Linked DNA regions of Arabidopsis thaliana. The protein of the gene in region 2 purifies or fractionates together with the protein of the main gene of each other region. This does not show direct contact. Each region holds a gene or a part of one and is shown on either strand. Other genes may lie near its edges.

Evidence for each region.
Region 1: the proteins of THFS (region 2) and ATCS fractionate together in Arabidopsis thaliana (co-fractionation; one large-scale study listed by BioGRID). This does not show direct contact.
Region 3: the proteins of THFS (region 2) and CSY5 fractionate together in Arabidopsis thaliana (co-fractionation; one large-scale study listed by BioGRID). This does not show direct contact.

Annotation. Positions count from the first base shown.
Region 1 is NC_003071.7:18,314,228-18,321,292, reverse strand, and holds ATCS (Citrate synthase family protein), read right to left. Parts: upstream 5,016-7,065; 5' UTR 4,901-5,015; intron 4,874-4,900; exon of another isoform or gene 4,711-4,873; intron 4,638-4,710; 5' UTR 4,621-4,637; coding exon 4,570-4,620; intron 4,472-4,569; coding exon 4,406-4,471; intron 4,260-4,405; coding exon 4,218-4,259; intron 4,037-4,217; coding exon 3,971-4,036; intron 3,879-3,970; coding exon 3,813-3,878; intron 3,691-3,812; coding exon 3,577-3,690; intron 3,469-3,576; coding exon 3,405-3,468; intron 3,228-3,404; coding exon 3,145-3,227; intron 3,017-3,144; coding exon 2,967-3,016; intron 2,888-2,966; coding exon 2,810-2,887; intron 2,666-2,809; coding exon 2,537-2,665; intron 2,403-2,536; coding exon 2,360-2,402; intron 2,269-2,359; coding exon 2,182-2,268; intron 2,015-2,181; coding exon 1,913-2,014; intron 1,565-1,912; coding exon 1,457-1,564; intron 1,366-1,456; coding exon 1,315-1,365; intron 1,168-1,314; coding exon 1,094-1,167; intron 1,017-1,093; and 5 more. Other genes in the region: AT2G44360 (ecotropic viral integration site protein), read left to right, coding at 7-114, 199-438; AT2G44340 (VQ motif-containing protein), read right to left, coding at 6,448-7,014.
Region 2 is NC_003070.9:18,699,876-18,705,534, reverse strand, and holds THFS (10-formyltetrahydrofolate synthetase), read right to left. Parts: upstream 3,654-5,659; 5' UTR 3,472-3,653; coding exon 3,316-3,471; intron 2,891-3,315; coding exon 2,741-2,890; intron 2,647-2,740; coding exon 1,471-2,646; intron 1,372-1,470; coding exon 1,225-1,371; intron 1,124-1,224; coding exon 848-1,123; 3' UTR 597-847; downstream 1-596. Other genes in the region: UBC20 (ubiquitin-conjugating enzyme 20), read left to right, coding at 1-81, 176-239, 325-384, 484-530; AT1G50470 (F-box associated ubiquitination effector family protein), read left to right, coding at 5,091-5,163, 5,243-5,535.
Region 3 is NC_003074.8:22,190,733-22,196,994, reverse strand, and holds CSY5 (citrate synthase 5), read right to left. Parts: upstream 4,266-6,262; 5' UTR 4,108-4,265; coding exon 4,057-4,107; intron 3,974-4,056; coding exon 3,920-3,973; intron 3,804-3,919; coding exon 3,762-3,803; intron 3,632-3,761; coding exon 3,566-3,631; intron 3,476-3,565; coding exon 3,410-3,475; intron 3,321-3,409; coding exon 3,207-3,320; intron 3,115-3,206; coding exon 3,051-3,114; intron 2,915-3,050; coding exon 2,832-2,914; intron 2,736-2,831; coding exon 2,683-2,735; intron 2,600-2,682; coding exon 2,522-2,599; intron 2,408-2,521; coding exon 2,279-2,407; intron 2,114-2,278; coding exon 2,071-2,113; intron 1,973-2,070; coding exon 1,886-1,972; intron 1,754-1,885; coding exon 1,652-1,753; intron 1,471-1,651; coding exon 1,363-1,470; intron 1,288-1,362; coding exon 1,237-1,287; intron 1,153-1,236; coding exon 1,079-1,152; intron 996-1,078; coding exon 944-995; intron 842-943; coding exon 749-841; 3' UTR 548-748; and 1 more. Other genes in the region: AT3G60090 (VQ motif-containing protein), read right to left, coding at 5,664-6,137.

The DNA.
Region 1 (7,065 bases), on a different chromosome or scaffold from region 2:
TCTTAGGTAGAATCATTGACAAATACAGAAGAGGTTGAGCTACGTTCTAAGATTGAAGCTCTTGGTTTAGAAGTCACTAAAGTGCCATCAAAGTCTGCTCAACACCTCAATGAGGTCTGTATCCTGTGTTCACTCATATATCTGGTACACATTGTAATGTAAATCTGAGGCTTTGTGTGTGATTGTTTGTGTTTTCAGGTGGAGATAGCTAAGGAATTGGACAAGTTATCAGCAAAGTTAGATGATGTGGATGAGATGATATCATCAGCTATAGCTTCTGATCCACAGGTTCAGACGCTTCTTAGCGGCACAGCTGATGTTTGGATGCCGGTTATCACTGCCGGCGCCGAAGAGAGACTCAACTTCACAGCCTCTCTTGCTGATGATGATGACCTTTCTAACAAGGAGACTACTACCGACAATACCAGCAGCTCTTAATCCCATTTTCTTTTTGATAAACTCATGTCGAAGTTTTCTATTTTGCAGTCTTGTTTCTTTTATGTATATCAAAACCAAGATAAGCTTTAATTCATGAGTGATATTGATGTTTGATTTTTACGCAAACTGAATACAACTGTTTATTTATTATCACGAGTTTCCCGGAAATGCAAATTTGCACCAAGCATGTGTTTCTCAGGAACAATTTCTACATGAACAAATGTTTCTTCTGTCAATAGAAGGTAAAAACAAAAAAAGCTATCCAGTGTGGAAGAGAATGACTTTTGTTGAAACACGAGAGAGTGCGACAACTCAGGACTCGGTGGTGACTTAAGCAGATGAAGCTTTCTTACAATGGGCTTCAAGCCAGTCCATGGTAACACTCTTTGGCCTCTCAAGTGCAAGTCCAAGAGCTCGGTCCCATATAAGCTGTGAATTAAACACAAATGAGAATGGAGAGCATATGAGTTCTGTTTTAAATGTTATGTAGTAACAAAGGCGTAATGTGTAAATATATATATGTTACCTGAGAGCAGATGCCAAGACTCCTTGAAACACCAAAGAGCACGGTGTAGTACCTATAAAACGCACAGATATTATATTTGAGTGCTATCCTAAGGCTCAATGATACTTGAAGGAGGTGTCTACTTCTTACCTTGCTTCGGTTAGACCATAGTGGTTCAGCAAGACCCCACTGTGAGCATCAACATTTGGCCACGGGTTCTTCACCTGTAACAAGCCATCATCGGATTCGCAAGTAAATAAAAAATTGATTCGCAAGAGATTCATAAGCCCCTAGCATGTAGGTAAGGTGTTGTGGAGTTGTTGGTGGAATATTGAAGGATCACCATGGTAAACGAAGGATAGAGATACTACCTTTCCAAGCTCAGTGAGAACAGGAGGCACAACTTCATAAAGCTTTGACACCTACAGAGTTGGAAGGATTTTGTTAGCTACTGAACATTGATAGAATTTTGAGAACCGAACAGAAAAGAGAAAAGAGAAAGAAAAAAAGTACCAGCTGGAAAAGAGGGTCGTCAGGTAGATGCTTCAAGGCAAATTCTCTTTGGCATACATATCTTGGATCAGTATTGCGCAGAACACCGTGACCATATCCCGGAATAACCTAGAGACAAAACAAGACTCGTCAATAGATCATCATTAGACTATCCTTGTAACATTACATCCACAAGGTAAACTAGGATAGGGAAAAACAGGATCCAAAGCTCTTATGGCAGTATTACTTACTAGGAGCAGTTAGAGCAACTGACCAAACTATGAGGTCGTAAATAAGAGGACCCATAACAGTATCACACAATAAATTGAAATATTAGCCTATTATGATGACTAGTAGACAAGATGTTAATTCATTTTCGCATGCTCCATCAGTCTTGTTGGCTGGCTTCAAAAGTGGGATTCAGGTACAAGACCAGAAAGTAAAGAATGTCAAGGCAGAGGAATTTCCTGTTTTTACCTTGCCACTGTTTAATGTTTTCCAAACATATTCTTTCAACTGTTCTTTTGATATATCTTCTCCACATTCCTCTACGACTGATTTGATCCAAAGCAAAACTTCCTGTTGAAACAATAATAAAAAAAGACTAAGAATTTGTTTTCTCCAATTTATGGTTGTATCATCAAACTATCACAACCTACCTAGATAAAATACAAAAAGCCACTTACGAAGCTCTATTGTAGATTGAAGATTTAAGACTTATTCAAGATATAGACAAGGGAGGATACCTGATTAGCCAAACCATGGAGTGGCCCAGCTAAACCATTTAATGCAGCTGCAAATGACAGATATGGGTCTGAAAGTGCACTACCAACCTACATGAACAAGAATTTTTAGCAAAAGAACCATTAGAAACTTCAGGTAGGTCAATCCTTTAAAATTGACACATGGAGAGTATATACATACCAGGTGACCAGTGTGAGCACTAACATTTCCACCTTCATGATCACTAGAGCAAAAAATAGTAGAAAAGCAAAATGTTATACAAAGGTCTATTTAAAGTCTTAAAAAGAACAAACAAATTTACAAGATAATTAAGCTTATTTAAGGAGACATGCATGGGTGACGAAAATTAATACAGACCTGTGGATGGTGATGTAAAGCCTCATGAGCTCTTTCACCTTTTCATCATCAAATCCCAACATGTGGGAAAAATTTGCACCATAATCCAAAGATTTATCTGAGGGAATGGAATCACCATTCTTATACATCCTGCAATGATGCATGGAAAAGGTCAACAGTCAATACAAAGCAAAAACAAGAGATGGCAAATTTTCCAATAAAAAAAAAATCATTGCCGAAAATCCAGAAGCTACAAGAAACATGAAAAAGAGTACAAAAAGAGTCTTCACTAACCTTCGATAAACATATGCAGCTACAACAGGAACACGAGCAATCAGGTTGAGGCAATCCTCATATGTTGGCTCCCAGAACCTGGAAGAAAAAATCTTTGTTATGATGCCAGCTAATATGAAACGCTATCATGAACTAAATCAGAACCCCAAAAGCATACTTTGACTTATGAATTCCATTCTCATATGCCTTTTGAAACTCACTTTGCACCTGGATATTAGGTAAAGAAAATTATCATTCTGCTGAAAATTGTTTACTTATAGCCAAAAAAAACAATAAGTTTCCAACGCTTATCACAAGAAGAACAGAAACAACAATACGAGTTTAGAGAACCACACCTGGAGGGCCATAACACCGCTAGCAAATTGAGTCATTGGATGAGCTGTGGAAGGCAGAGCATCGATGGCATTGTACACATAATCTGTATAAAAATTGGATACAAGTTAAGAATGAATGAAAGTATAACACAAAACCCACAAATTTATTTCATTTCTGTTAAGCAATTTCTTGTAAGCATTGATGTCAAACAAGTTTGAATGAGCCAATAAACAGACTCCTTTATTTGCAACAGCCAGAGCGAAAAAGGTAATATCCAAACCTGGCACAGCAGCACGGTTCGCCAAGTCTTTCGACAGTGCTTCAACTTGCTCTTTGCTAGGTACCTATACGAAAAAGGGTAAAAAAGGATATCATAAGATAATCTATTGAGGAAAACTAATCGACTGGACATATCCAGAACCAACTTATAATAATGTACAGAAGAGCCACACCTTTCCAGTTAAGAGAAGCCACAAAAGACCCTCCGGTAATGGTTCAGCTCCAGACTGGGCAGTAGGTAATACTTTCTGGCACTCAGGAATCGACAATCCCCTAAAGCGAATACCCTGAAATAATGATAAGATAATTGCATCAACAGCCTTAGAACAGGAAGGAGGAGCATTTGATATATTCTATATCTAGGATCTAACCAAGCTATTGTAACTATATACAGAGAGTTATACAGTACCTCTTCCGGGTCAAGCAATGAGGTTTCCCAAAGCAATCCAGTCATCCCTCTCATTCCACCAATAACCTTTATTTCAAAGGGGATTATGATGAGTTATGCAATGGAAGGTGAAAATCATATAAACAAACCAAAAACGTGAAAATCATGATTGTTTCTACCATATCAACAGTGATGTTTCCCAGTTGGACCTTCCCATGTTCTGACTTCAGTTTCTTCAGACGGTCCTGAAATTGGAAAATTCTTGTGAGAAAAGAGGAAACTAGAAAAGCAAAGAGATTCACTACAACTAGCCTGCCTTCTTAACTTAACAATCTCAGCTAACATAACAAATAATACACACATTCAATGAAAAAAAAAAGTCAACAACACAAATTTTCATTTAAAGCAAACAGAGTCTAATCTAACCTGCTGTTCCGGAATTAACTCTTGCAGCTGCGACTTCAGGTCCTGCATTGCCACCATTTAAACAAAATGAACAAAGACCCCACAAGCAGCAGATCCCAAACCAATATTAAACTTACATATGATCATGATCATGAAAACTACATGATCACGATCACACACGAAAGTACGAAGCAACGGAGATGATTTACCAGGTCGGTAGAGCTCTGCATCTGAATCCATCTGACAGAATTGCTGAGTGAAGATTGTTGGCCCTGCTTACATAGATTCGATCACCAATCAATCGATTAGCATGAACCAGCGAGATCAAACGAGAACAAACACAAAACTGGAAACAAAATTTTCAAATACTTACGACGCGAGACCTCAGCCTAGTAAAGGCCGATACGCTGCGGAAAAACACCATTCTCCAAAACTCAAAACCTGTGACAGACAGTATCCACCCAATTCTCAAAACAAATCGATCCGTGAAAAAACTCAAGCAATCAACACTCACCAAAATCAGAAACAAACAAAAAAAGTTTTATCGCCGAATCAAATAATTCAACAAAACTCAGAGATTCGATCAGCGGAATTCACCGGCGAATTCAGATTCCAGAAGAAGAGAAAAACAGGACTAGATTCTCCGAAAATTATGGAAGACCAAAAGGAAATGAGAAACACTATGAAGAAGCGAAGAAACATACCAGAGATTCGAGAGCTTCACGGAGATCGAGAAAAAAAAAAGCGATTGTTGAAAAAAATACTAAAAGCTGCGTCTGCGTGTGATGTACAAAATCAATCGGCGAAAGGTGAGCAAATGACATTTGTATATAGCTGGAGCAGGTTTATTACTAAATTCCAATTTTGACCTTCGAGTACTTTGAGAAGGCAAACCAAACTAAACCGGTATTGGAGAAAATAACCTTTAGGCGTATTATTCCGGTTTTATGAATCTCAAAAACAATTTCGGTGTACCGGTGTGGTTATTTTCGGCAATTGTTGATAATCATCATTTATTTCCTTTGCCTTATTTACGGTATTGTTGATAATCATCATTTATTTTTGGTTTAAGAAATCATACTAATATTTATGTGAGCTTTTCAAGCAGCCGGAACGTTTCCAAATCTAGAAAAGTCAGGTTTGAAATTGTCCTTTACAATGTTTTCATCCAATATTATGCAACCAAAACCGATTTAGACTAAAACAAATAATCCCAATGCCTGAAAAAGTAGACTAATTAATAAGTATAACATGTGCAGAACCTTACAAAATAAGATAAAATAAATGTTGACGTTCGAGAACTTTGAGAAGGTAAACCAAACTAAACCAAAACACAGAAGCAAGGGAGTAAACCGTAATCATATACCTTTTCGTTCTTTTGGAAACCAGACCGAATAATTTGGCTTTATATGAAAAGGTCAACGGACACTAAAATCTCAAAACAATTTTGGTGTACCGTTACGGCTATATTCGGTTCGGATCAATTTTCTTTGCATTTTGTTGATAGGTTATATCATTTTGTTTTACTTTATTTTGATAAAAGGGTTAATATTACTCACTGTTGAAAATGATATATTATACACGTACATCAAATATGAAAACACGTTATTTATTTTAGTTGAAGTACTACATGTATAATAAATATCATTTTCAACATTTGTAACAAAAGATTAGTAAACAATAATAATAAAAAAAATAATTTAGCTTGAGCCAGAATATTCTTGTTAACTTACAGTTTAATTTAATTAGTGTAACTGTACTTTAACCGAATAACCGTTATGTAAGTATCGATATTCAATATACACAATCAATCAGAGTATCTATATCGAAAACAAGTCGATCCTTGTTCTAATTCCATACAAACTTTTTCCCCAAAATTAAAGTACAGCAATCATCACATTTATCTGCACACCAAAGAATTAATACACATCCAATAATAGCACATCAATGAAGTTACATAATAAAACTAGGGCTTTTTTGACCGACCACATCTTAATTAGATACAGCCACTTCTCCTAGAAGGGCTGCACGTAGATTAAACTCTCTTCATCACAACTCTCAACCTTGGCAAAGTCAGTCCCGCCAAAAGTTTATGTCTCTCATCATACCCATTTGTTATATCTATATACAACTTCTATGCCTTTTTTCTCCCACAAAATATGACCTTATCGTTGCGATTAGATCTCATCTCACCAAATGCGATTTGCAGAATCAATAAGATTGAAAACCCTAGAAATTAATCTGTTATTAATTAAGACGAATTATGAGCCTTTGTATCGAAGTTGGTGTTGTTGTTGTTGTTGTTGTTGTTGTTGTTGTTGTTGTTGTTGTTGTTGTTGAAGATGAAACCTTCGACTTGTGAAGAAGAAGAGGATCTCATGGGAAACGAAGAGAAGTAATCTTCTCCGACATCTTGAATTAAACCTTCTAGATCAAAGTACGTGTTTGTGTTCGAAGTACTCTGATCACCTGATCCCCACTCTTCTTTCACCTGGTGGTTTCCTCCGTTTGCTAGTAAACCGGTGAAACCCGAAAGCCTGTTGACCGGCTGATGATCATCGCAAACCGGTTCTTGGGGAGTCGTAATTCTTGATTTGGCTCTCTTTTTACCGGTTTTGGCTTCTCCCGGTGCCGGTTTCCCGGTTAGACTCTGGACGAGTGAACGAAAGTTCTTGACGTCGGTCTTGATGACCTCCGGTGCAAATATATGGATTATGCGAATCTTGGGTTTGATCTTGGATATTACTTGTGAATTCCTGTTCATGGAAACCCTAGAACTCGAACCTTCATGAAAACTTTGATATTGAGTAATCTCCATTGAAGAAACTATAAACGATTGAGAAAAGATTTGATCCTTTTTTAGATATCT
Region 2 (5,659 bases):
CCTCCAAAGGTTAAGTTTGAGACATGTTGCTTCCACCCCAATGTTGATGTCTATGGCAATATCTGCTTAGACATTCTTCAGGTAAAAATATACCTTCCTCTTGTGTCTTTGTTCTACACTGAATCAGAGAAGACGTGCCAAAGTTAATCCGTTTACAACATTTTCATATTTGCAGGATAAGTGGTCATCTGCTTACGATGTGAGGACGATACTACTATCGATTCAGAGCCTCCTGGGAGGTATTCTATGGTGCATAACTTTTGATTTCTTGTTAGCCCTTTTTGTTGGTTAATCCAATATCTGATACATGTTTTCGTTGATCAGAACCGAACATCAGTTCACCATTGAACACTCAAGCAGCTCAGCTTTGGAGTAACCAAGAAGGTAAACAGACAGGGGATTTAACAGTCGTTATGAAATCAAACTTCTTTAGAGTACCACAGTTATGAGTTTCTTATGTCTCTTTTGTTTCTCCATACGCAGAGTACAGGAAGATGGTTGAGAAGCTTTACAAGCCTCCAAGTGCATGATTTCTGCAAGCTGTTCTGATTCATAAATCTCCAATGCCTCTGATGATTTCACATAAAACGATTTTTCAGAAGAAAACACTGTCATTCATTTGCTTTATTCTTTGTTTTTGAACATCAGAAGTTCTATCTGTAACGTTACCTTGAGTTCAAATAATGAGTAGTATTTCAGAGATTAATCAAAAGGAAAAGATACTTTATTATTATTCATCTTAAAATGGAAAAACACTCAGTATCAAAGTACAATCGCCAAATTTTTATTGTGGAAGTGAGAAACGACGATGAAGGAAAGCCTTGAAGCTTTGACAGATCTACCAAACTTAAGAAAGGCCACGAACTTTTCCAGTTTCAGTGTCAATATCAATCTCGTAGAAACAAGGTCTTGTAGGAAGTCCAGGCATTGTACTCATTGTACCAACCAGTGGATATATGAAACCAGCTCCAATGCTTCCTCTTACATCCCTAATTGGCAATACAAACCCTGAAGGTGCTCCTTTCTTTGATGCATCATGTGAGAATGAGTACTGTGTTTTCGACATGCATATGGGAAGATTCGAGAAGCCTTGTTGTGTGTACATCTCAATCTGTTTCTCTGCCTGTATTTTACATATCACAGGATAATAGATAAGTTACATAAACAGGTTTCTTTTGACAACAATGCAAAGAAATTGAAGAAGTCGGTCTAGGAATCAATCACCTGGTCTGAATATTCAACACCACTGGCTCCATATGACTTAGCTATTGCCTCAATTTTGTCTTTGATACCAATGTCCAATGGGTAGAGAAACCTGAGGGGCTGTGTAATGTTTTGACAAGCTTTTTCAACCGCGATACCAAGATCCACCTATAACATTTACAAGAACAATTCATCTATCAATAAGATGAGATTGCAAACAAAATTGCATATAATCACATAGTGTTGGTCTCGAATAGAGAAGATTACCGCTCCTTTACCACTATGAGCATGGTGGGAGCAGACCACAGCATCAAAAGCACCGGCATCCATTGAAAATTTCCTAACTGCATTTAGTTCTGCTTCGGTATCTGTTGCGAACATATTCACAGCAACAATTACATTCACACCGTAGGCCTTTGTGTTTGAGATGTGCTTTGCCAGATTCACACAGCCAGCTTCAACTAAGGAAACATTCTCGCTTACATAAGCACGATCAAGAGGTCTCCCGGCAACAACATCAGGCCCACCTCCATGCATTTTCAAAGCCCTAACAGTCGCCACAACAATTGCACACTGAGGCGTTAGCCCACTGTAACGGCACTTAATATTCATGAACTTCTCTGTTCCAATATCAGAACCAAAACCCGCTTCAGTTACCACAAATCCACCAGGTCCCACCAGCTTCAAAGCGATTTTATCAGCAACAATCGATGAATTTCCATGAGCTATATTTGCAAAAGGACCAGCATGCACTAGAACAGGGGTCCCTTCCAGTGTCTGCATGAGTGTCGGGTTAATAGCGTCTTTCATCAGAACAGTCAAGGCTCCTCCAACACCGAGATCATCTGCTGTTATCGGATCCCCTGCCTTGCTGTTACCAATCACCATTTTACCAAGCCTCTCTCTCATATCACCTAGTGAGGTTGTCAAAGCCAAAACAGCCATAATCTCACTAGCAACAGAAATGTCAAAACCAGTTTCTCTAGTCATCCCCTTTTCCTCAGGTCCCTGACCAATAGTAATCTTCCTCAAGAACCGATCATTAACATCCATCACTCTTCTCCAAGTGATAGAAGCAGGATCAATATCAAGCCTCGCAAACTTCTTTATCTCCTCGGGAGTAAGCTCCTCAGGACTGGTCTTGGATATCCCAAGCTTTGTCAATCTCCTGAACATAATGTCACTGAAACTACGCTTCCCTTCTTTATTCGGAGGGCACAGCCTATTAAAAAGAGCCTTGTCGGATTGAGACGTCTCATGGAAAATCCGAGTGTCGATTGCAGCAGCTAAGAGGTTGTTGGAAGCGGTAATCGCGTGAATATCTCCAGTGAGATGAAGATTGAACTCATCCATAGGAATCACCTGACTATACCCACCACCAGCTGCACCTCCTTTGATTCCAAAGGTGGGTCCTTGTGACGGTTGGCGAAGACAAGTAACAACCTAAGCAACAACACTTCACAAATCAATACAAAGAGAGAAGTTTGTCCAAAAGCAAGCATAAGGCATAAGCTAATAAATGAAAGCAAGAGAGAACCTTCTTATCGAGGTAAGCGCCTAAGGCTTGGCAAAGTCCAACAGTGGTAGTACTCTTGCCTTCTCCAAGAGGAGTAGGAGTAATCCCTCCAACAACAACATAGTATCCATCTTCTTGTCCTTGAAGCTCATCAAACGCAGACAACAAAACCTACAAGAACAAATCATCAGTTGATTAGCTCAGAACACTGAACCATTGGTTTAACCAGCTTCTGATGTTTTTGGTGAAACTAAAGTATCAATCTTGCCCACCGACAAAAAAGAAGTAACAGCAAATTAACAAGAAAAGAGAGCTACTTGGTAGGAAAATGGTAATATGAATCCAAAATCAATCGAAAGTTATAAACTTTGAGCTTACGTAACTGCCTACTCAAGCTCCAAAAACTCAATCATTAACAATCTCTTGAAAATTTATTTAAGTTTGATCGAAACCAATTCGAACATAATAGTATCTTATAACCAAAAACGGAGTTCTTTTGGATCCTTGTACCGACAACAACATAGAGACAGAGGAAGATTCAGATGAATAATTTAATTTTCAAAGGGAAATGAACAAAAGGGAAAAATGATGATTACCTTAGCTTTATACTTGCCATAGAGATCGTAGTGAAGAGGGTTGATATTAAGATCTTTGGCAATCTCAGAGATGTGTAAAGGCTCGACGGAATTAGCTATGTCGATATCGGCGGGAACTGGTGAAACAACCTCAAGCTTTCTTGTTGATGAACTCATCGCACTCTCTGTCGAAGTCTGATCTCGCGTTGGAGGATGAGAAGATGGATGAGGGACTCTGATGAATTGATGATGTTTTATAAAACTTTAAAGCACATCCTAATATATTACAGTAAGTAGCAAATACATGTTTAGATCATTATCCATATTAACCAATGAGAACGATGACGTTTTTGTTTTTTTCCCTCTTTTTCACCTCTTAATAAATATATTTTCAACACACATAATTATTGAAGGCCAGAAAATGACGGTTTCGCCCTCGATCTATAAGCGCAGCCACTATAGTTTAGTTTGGCCCACTGTTGTCGTCAATTTAAACTAGTACTATACTAGAAAAGAGAATGGAACTCGGATTTGTTAGGCTACCAATTTTCTTTAATCTTTACATAATACTTCTTAAGACTGTACTATTAAATTTGTTATTTTTAATAAAATACTGTTGTTTTTGAACTATTCCAATACAGTTTCTATAGATTTACAGGAAGCCACATTTCTTTTCATTTAAACCATCATTTTCATTGCACCAATACTATTTTATTATACAACGATGATAGTTTTTGTCAACATGTATAATGTATTGGGGTGAACGGATTCCGAGGTGTCTTGATAAATGGTGCCAATTTTTCCTCTCGACAGATATGGTGTATAGAGTTTTAGACTTAGAATTGAAGAGGCACGAGAGGGTCAACTATTGATGAATCAGTAACCTTGAAGCAATATATATTTTAAGCAATCTATATAAAAGCCCTATGGAATATGTCTAGGACTAAGCCTTCTTTGCGTATCTTACATAGTGAAATCGATGTCATATTAGTCCATTAACATAAAATGGGCTTACAGCTTTAGCATTTTCTGACCCAAAATGAGGCAAAGAAACGACGTCATTTAATATAAAGTTATCCATCCATTTCCTAAAGAAGATAAAATGGATGCAACCAAAGAGAATCAGAATTTTGATTTAGGATGGGTTTGACATTCTTATTGTGTGATAGATAACGTAGTTTAAAAGCAATACAAATGTAGTAGATCAAGTTGAAACAGAAAAGAAAGAAGAACATAAAGAGAAGAAAATCCCAAATAACAATGATATGATGATGCTGCTGAGAATAATAAACAGAAAAGGGCTATTCCAAAGGAGGAGCTCGATGCTATCAATGATGCTGAAACCTTTTTTGCAGAAATCTTTTTCCGGGAAAGTGTGTCAAACACAAATTTAGGGAAAGTGGTAGGTTTAGTGAAAAGTGATATTGAGAAGAAGAAGAGAAGCAGCATGCAAGAGACAAGTTTAATGAAAGTGATAGATACCAAAACTTGTATGAGTTTGGTTGTATGAATACTTGTATTTGTATTGAAAGATATTGTCTTGCAAAAATTTGATTTTTTTTTTCTTGAGAACCTACCATTGGAGGACATTTTTGTTAAGATAGTTTCTTTGAACCTACCATTGTGGTTTGGGACCCATTCTAGAAGAAAACCATATGGATCCAACCGATAAATCGTCATGACAAGATATTCGAGGTCTATGCTCTCGGTTACAATAACAAGGACTTGTGCCATAACTACAAAATCTTGAGGTTTATAGATATATGCTTGGAAGTCTATGATTTTAGCTCTAATTTATGGAGGAGTTTCTTGATGTCGTCTCTCCCGAAGACGACTTAGTATCCACTGGCAAGTCGTTGAAGGGAAATGGTTACTCATTGCTCAGTTTTGTTTTTTTCAACAGAGAGGTTTCAACTACTATGTGTGCCCTTTCATCAAGAAGCTGCAGAAGTAAATGATATTAAGGCTCTCTCAGTTGTTAGAGAAGAACATCTCTCCTTATTATATCAGAGTGCAAAGAAACTAAAGATGGATATAAGGGTGACCAATGAGATTGAGACAGTGGATTTAAAACCCCATGGTTGTTTGTTTTCGAGTTCCCTAAGTTTCCACATTGACGAAGAGAAGAAAGTTGCTGTTTGCGGTGAGAAAGTCATATACAACAAGATATACATTGTTGGAGAAGATAAATACACAAGGTATATCGATCTTCTGGTTTCGGTAGCTTTGATGGTCGGTTAAGTGTGTTTACGTATGTTCAAAGATTGATTTAAATCCAACAATATGTAATATCCTGTTGGACATTGATCATTTTGTATATATTATCATCTTAAATGTTTTATTCACATCTTCTGGATCTAATAAA
Region 3 (6,262 bases), on a different chromosome or scaffold from region 2:
TCCATCACATACTTGAGTTGGAATTGTATGTTTCTCTTGCACCACTGGACTGGCCATGACAAGGAAGACTAGGATATGTTCTAATAATATATTTCCTGTCCTAGCTAGAAACCTCTGCTCTCGGTTTCTAATAATTCTCGGTAACAGGATCCAGCGACTCCTCTGAAAGTTAGAGAAAACTTGTGAGGAAGAAGACTCAAAATCAATTTCGCATTTCTGGCTTTTTGTGATTACGAAGAGTCTTATACTTAGCCAAATATCTGAAGGTTTAGAAGAGAACACGTTGCATCTTACTGTTCACTGAAGATAGCAAATGTGTTTTGTAGAATCATCATAAAGCTTCGTAGGGAGCTTCTTAAGATAGGAGGAAGCTTCTGTTTGATCCCGAGGCTTTGAATTTCTTGACTCTGCTTCTGTTCACTTCAAACACTCTGTTTGAGCGGGACTGGTTGCATGAGTATTGTTTATTATGCGATAATTCACCAAAGACTAATCAATACATATCAATGGTCATCATTTGTCTATCAAAGTTGAGGAACAATAATATGGTGTCTCAATCTGAGAAAGACTGTTTCTTTACTTGTTTGACTTTATTGTTTTTGCAGAAGAACCAAAATGAAAACTCTGTAGAACAAAATTTCGACGAAAAATCGTTTTTTTTTTATCTCTAAAAGCTACCCAATCAAATGGAAGAGAAGGCTGAAGTGATAAAAGAGAGAACCTTGACCAACATCAGTCAGGGATTAACTTAGCGGTTCAAGCGCGTGAAGTTATCGAGCCAGTCCATGTTTACACTCTTTGGTCTCTCAAGTGGCAGTCCAAGTGCCCTGTCCCATATCAGCTGAAACAGAAAAGGAATAAAAGATTAGTCTGACTTTATTGTGAAGGATATGGCGATACGTACTAAAATCGAATTGTCGATGGCATGAATGTATGTATGTACCTGCGAGCAGATTCCAAGACTTCTTGAGACGCCAAAAAGCACCGTGTAGTATCTATATTTGAAAGGAATGTCACTCTATAATAACCAAGATTCAGCAAAACAAGGTCAAAGCCTCGATACACAAGTAGTTCCTACCTTGCTTCGGTTAGACCATAGTAGTTCAGAAGCACTCCGCTATGAGCATCAACGTTAGGCCACGGGTTCTTGACCTGATACAGCAATTTCAAGATTCATAAAACCAGAGAAAATCAGAAAATCTGGTAGCACATGAAATGAATGAGTATAAGTAGTACCTTTCCCAGCTCGGTTAGAATAGGAGGCACCACTTCATAAAGTTTTGAGACCTATAGACTTGCATAATTTGTGAGCCAGTAAAATTTTAAAGCATGACCAAAGATTTGAGGGGGAAAAAAAGTTACCAGCTGAAAAAGAGGATCATCAGGTAGATGCTTCAAGGCAAACTCTCTTTGGCATATATATCTTGGATCCGTTTTACGCAAAACACCATGGCCATATCCTGGAACAACCTGCAAGACAAATGTTTATTTAAGTTTCCTGACAACATTCACAGGCAAACCCCATAATCAAAACATAATCCGAAGCTTTTATTCATTATTTATACAATAATTCAAGTTATGGCCTGTCATGATTAGCATGCAATACATATGGATAGTTTCAAAAGGCAAAGCAGAGCATAATTTTGTCAACCTTGCCACTGTTTAACGTTTTCCAGACATAATCTTTTAGCTGTTCCTTTGATATACTTTCTCCACATTCCTCAACAACTAATTTGATCCACAGCAAAACTTCCTACAACAAGACAACGAAAAAAAACAGAGTAAGATTCCAAGTTTAAGCTTATAATTAAGAGTCAATCTTAGAGTTCAAGTTATATACACTTGTAGATTCGAACAATATAAGACTCATTAAGGATATAAATACCTGATTAGCCAAACCATGGAGTGGCCCAGCTAAACCATTCAATGCAGCAGCAAATGAAAGATATGGATCTGAAAGTGCACTCCCAACCTAAGTGAAGAAACATCATTAGCCAAAAACAGAACCATCAGAAATGTCTATAAGTTCAAAACATTATCATGCATCAAGATCATGTGGCAAATACATACCAGGTGACCAGCGTGAGCACTAACATTTCCACCTTCATGATCACTAAAACAGAAACCAGTAGACAAGGGAAAAAAAAACCTTGATCATGCTATAGAAATTTGGTAAGAGTTGGTAAAATAAAGGAAGATCATCATTATATACAAGAAAACTTTAGCTTATGTATTCTAATTAATGAGACATGTTGAAACGAAGAGAACCAGGACTAACCTGTGGATAGTGACATAAAGCCTCATGAGCTCTTTCATCTGAGGACTATCAAATCCCAGCATGTGTGAAAAATTTGCACCATAATCCAAAGAATCATCTAATGGAATGATGCTACCATCCTTGTACATCCTGCAATGTGAATTAGAATGGACATTGAAAAATAACACTCTGAAGAAAGGAAAATCTAAGAAAATTAACTAGTCCAGGAAGCTAAAAGCATTGGAAAAGATCCTAAAATTTAACCTCCGATAAACGTATGAAGCTACAACAGGAACACGAGCAATCAAGTTTAGGGCATCTTCGAAGGTTGGTTCCCAGTACCTGACAAGAAACCTCAGTTTCTATGATGCCTACTACTATAAGCCAATCAAGAAACAAAGTATAGAACTATTGAAAGTTTATACTTTGACTTAGAAATATCACCCTGCTCATACGCCTTTTGAAACTCACTTTGAACCTGAATAACAATCAACAAGATAAGATGCTCCTGAAAATAAACAAATTCTAAGAGAATGCATAGAAAAAAAAAATAGTACATAACAGAGCAATCCACCTGAAGGGCCATAACACCACTAGCAAATTGAGTCATTGGATGAGCTGTTGAAGGCAAAGCATCTATAGCTTTGTATATATAATCTGCAATGGAGAGTTGTTATATTTGCAACATCATAATATCCAGTTTATAATTATCATCAGCTTGTATTTTGCTAAGTTTTGATGAGTCATGAAACTGAGGTCATAAACAAACAGAGCCTAGAGGTGAACTACAAACCTGGCACAGCCGCACGATGAGCCAACTCTGTTGACAAAGCATTAGCTTGCTCTTTAGTTGGCACCTATACCGAAAGGAGGGAAAACTATACTTTAGATCATTCATATATAAAGTTGAAACTTATTGTATGTATAAAATGTTTTAAGATTATCACACCTTTCCAGTTAATAGAAGCCACAGAAGACTCTCAGGCAAGGGCTCTTCTCCAGACTCAGCTGAAGGTAATATTTTCTGACATTCAGGAATCGACATGCCTCTAAACCGTATTCCCTGATACAAAAGATAATATCATATGTTATATAATTCTAATTCAAGATCTGACCTGAAAATTATCTATGTGATCAAAATTATAACCATACCTCATCTGCATCAAGCAATGAGGTTTCCCAGAGTAATCCAGTCATCCCTCTCATTCCACCAAGTACCTTCACAAATACCACATGTAAAACTATATATACGAGTATGTTTAAAAGATAAAGCCTTTGTGTAATCACAAATATCATTAGAATCCGTACCATATCAACGGTGATGTTCCCCACTGGAACCTTTCCTTGTTCTGATTTCAGTTTCTTCAAACGGTCCTGAAAGTTGAAAGTTGTGTTTGTGTATGAGAAATGACATCAACTAAAACAGAGAGAAGAGCTTGATCTCTACATGAAATCTGCCCTAAAATTAGAAACAATCTCAATCACAACGAAGTAGAAACTAAACCTGTTGTTCTGGAATGATCTCTTGCATCTGCGACTTCAAGTCCTGCATTACCATCATTTTAAGCAACATCAACACAAAACCTAGAAGGTAAAATTCCAAATTTTTGGTTCTCAAACTGAACCGCATGATCACGAGAACATGAAAACCTAAGAAAGTACCAATTCAGAAGAGTGGAGCCATCTGACGGAGTTACTAAGTGAGGATTGTTGCACCTGTGCTTCTTATATTAGATCTGATCATCAAATTGTATCACATCAAACAAAACACAAAAAGGATGAAAGCTAAATCTACTCACTGCTCGAGACCGTAGTCTTGAAATGGCTGATACGCTGCGAAAAAACACCATTCTTTCAAACCTCACAACACTGATCGGTTACGAATCCAAACAATCAAGATTGGCTTAACCAGATAAGAGATAAAGGGAAAGAGAAAGCGTGGAGAAGAACTAACGGGAAATTCGAAAGTTTCTTCAACGTAGAGAGAAAAATTGAGAGATGTTGAGATATATCTGCAACGTGATGAACAAGCGTCAAATTACAACATATGTAAACCAAACACACGGATTCTTCTTACCAAACCGGTATAATGAACCAATTGATTACCATTTAGAAAACCAAACGAACAGGTTATGTTCGGGTTCGGTTGAGATTGGTTAGTTCCGTCGGTCCGTGAGACGCAAGATTCGAAGCAGCCGTAACGATTCTAATGCCTAAAAAAACGGTCATTAATAAATAAAGAACAAATGGTATGTAGCTTTTGCTGTTGCTAAATAAAAAAGTAGCTTCTTGGTAAAGTCCAAGGGTTTAGATAAAACATAATTTTATTTTGTTGGAAATAAATAAAGTAAAAATGACATTTCACAATTGAAAAAAAAAGTTATAAACTTCGTTATTATAATTTCTTGGTCGAATGGGCGGTTTGATATTCTTCATTCTCCATTAGTTATCAGAAATTTTTATATTCTTTTGAAATACTATTTAATGATGTAACACAACTATTAACAATGATGGATATAGCTATAGCTAGTTAATATTAAAACATTGGATATCATATTATATGACACTATTGATCGTTATGTCATCCAAAAAATAAACTGATATTTCAATGAATGAGATTGGAAAAATATGACATATATCCATTACAACTCATTATAATCATATTACCATATCATTTTAATGTTTATGAAATGTGAGTCCACCTTTCATAATCTAACGTTTTGAGAAGTTAAAATGTAATTTAGCCATAAAGTTTTGAAGGTATATATCAAGAACATCGCCAATAAAACAGAACTTTATTCATTTATATATTCAAATCGAAACTCTTTTAGAGTCATGTAAGAATCATTTATCATTATAGTATTTCGTTAATTCAGTTTAATGGAATTCATTTTTGTTTTATCAAACAATTTGTTGTAAGTAACATGACTTATATATGAATTAACAAACAAAATAATTTGACGAAAAAAAATGAACAATCTAAAAAATTCAATCACAATATCATTCTCGCTTTTCTATATATAAAACTTGCACACGCACGCGTGAGTACAACGTTACACCATTTTTAAGTAGAGTTTTCACATGATCGGAGATCAAAACACAAACTTACTTTTTCTTGGCAAAATCAGTCTACAAACTCATCACTACACTCTTTCTTGGTAAATTAAGTCAGTCTAACAAATTAAATCAAAGGGCACCCAAGCCCAAAAAATCCAAACATTTGTACATATATACAAGTTATGTATGTTCCTACCTATATAGATGATCATCGTCTCAACCTTGGTCTTGTCTTGACCCATGTCTTGTTATGCTCCATATCGAATAAATGATCAAATCATCATCAAAACCAACAGGACTTACGATTAGTAGAAACCCTACATATTAGGGTAAGGTGTGACCAAACTAATTATTGTTGTTGAAGATCAAACCATCGACTTGAGAATATGTTGTCGTCTTCATCAAGATCGATCAAACCGTCAAAATCAAAGTAAGTATTTGTGTTTGAACTTGATCCCCATTCTTCCTTCACCACGTGGCTCCCTATTATTCTGTTGTCCAGTTCAGCCGTATGTTCTTGGCCGGAATCTTGAGGCAAACCCGGTGGCGCAGGAAAATTTGTGTTGGTTATCTTTTTCTTAGAACCGGTTTTGGTGATCTCCGGTTTCCCGGTTAGACTTTGGACGAGTGTGCGGAAGTTCTTGACATCGGTGTTGATGATCTCGGGAGCAAATATATGGATGATACGGATCTTAGGCTTGATCTTGGTTATTATTTGGGAGTTCTTGTTCATGGGAACCAAAGTTTTTGAATAATCACCATAAAAGGTTTGATGAGGAAGATGATCTATATCGTACTCAGCCTTCATAGAATTTCTCACCATATAAACGTAAAAAGAAGATGAAGAAGCGAAGATTTTGGGTTTTTCTTTTTTGGATTTCAGGTTTCTTGTATTGTTTTGGGAAATGATATGCATATGTTGTGGATTATATGTCTCTATATATATAC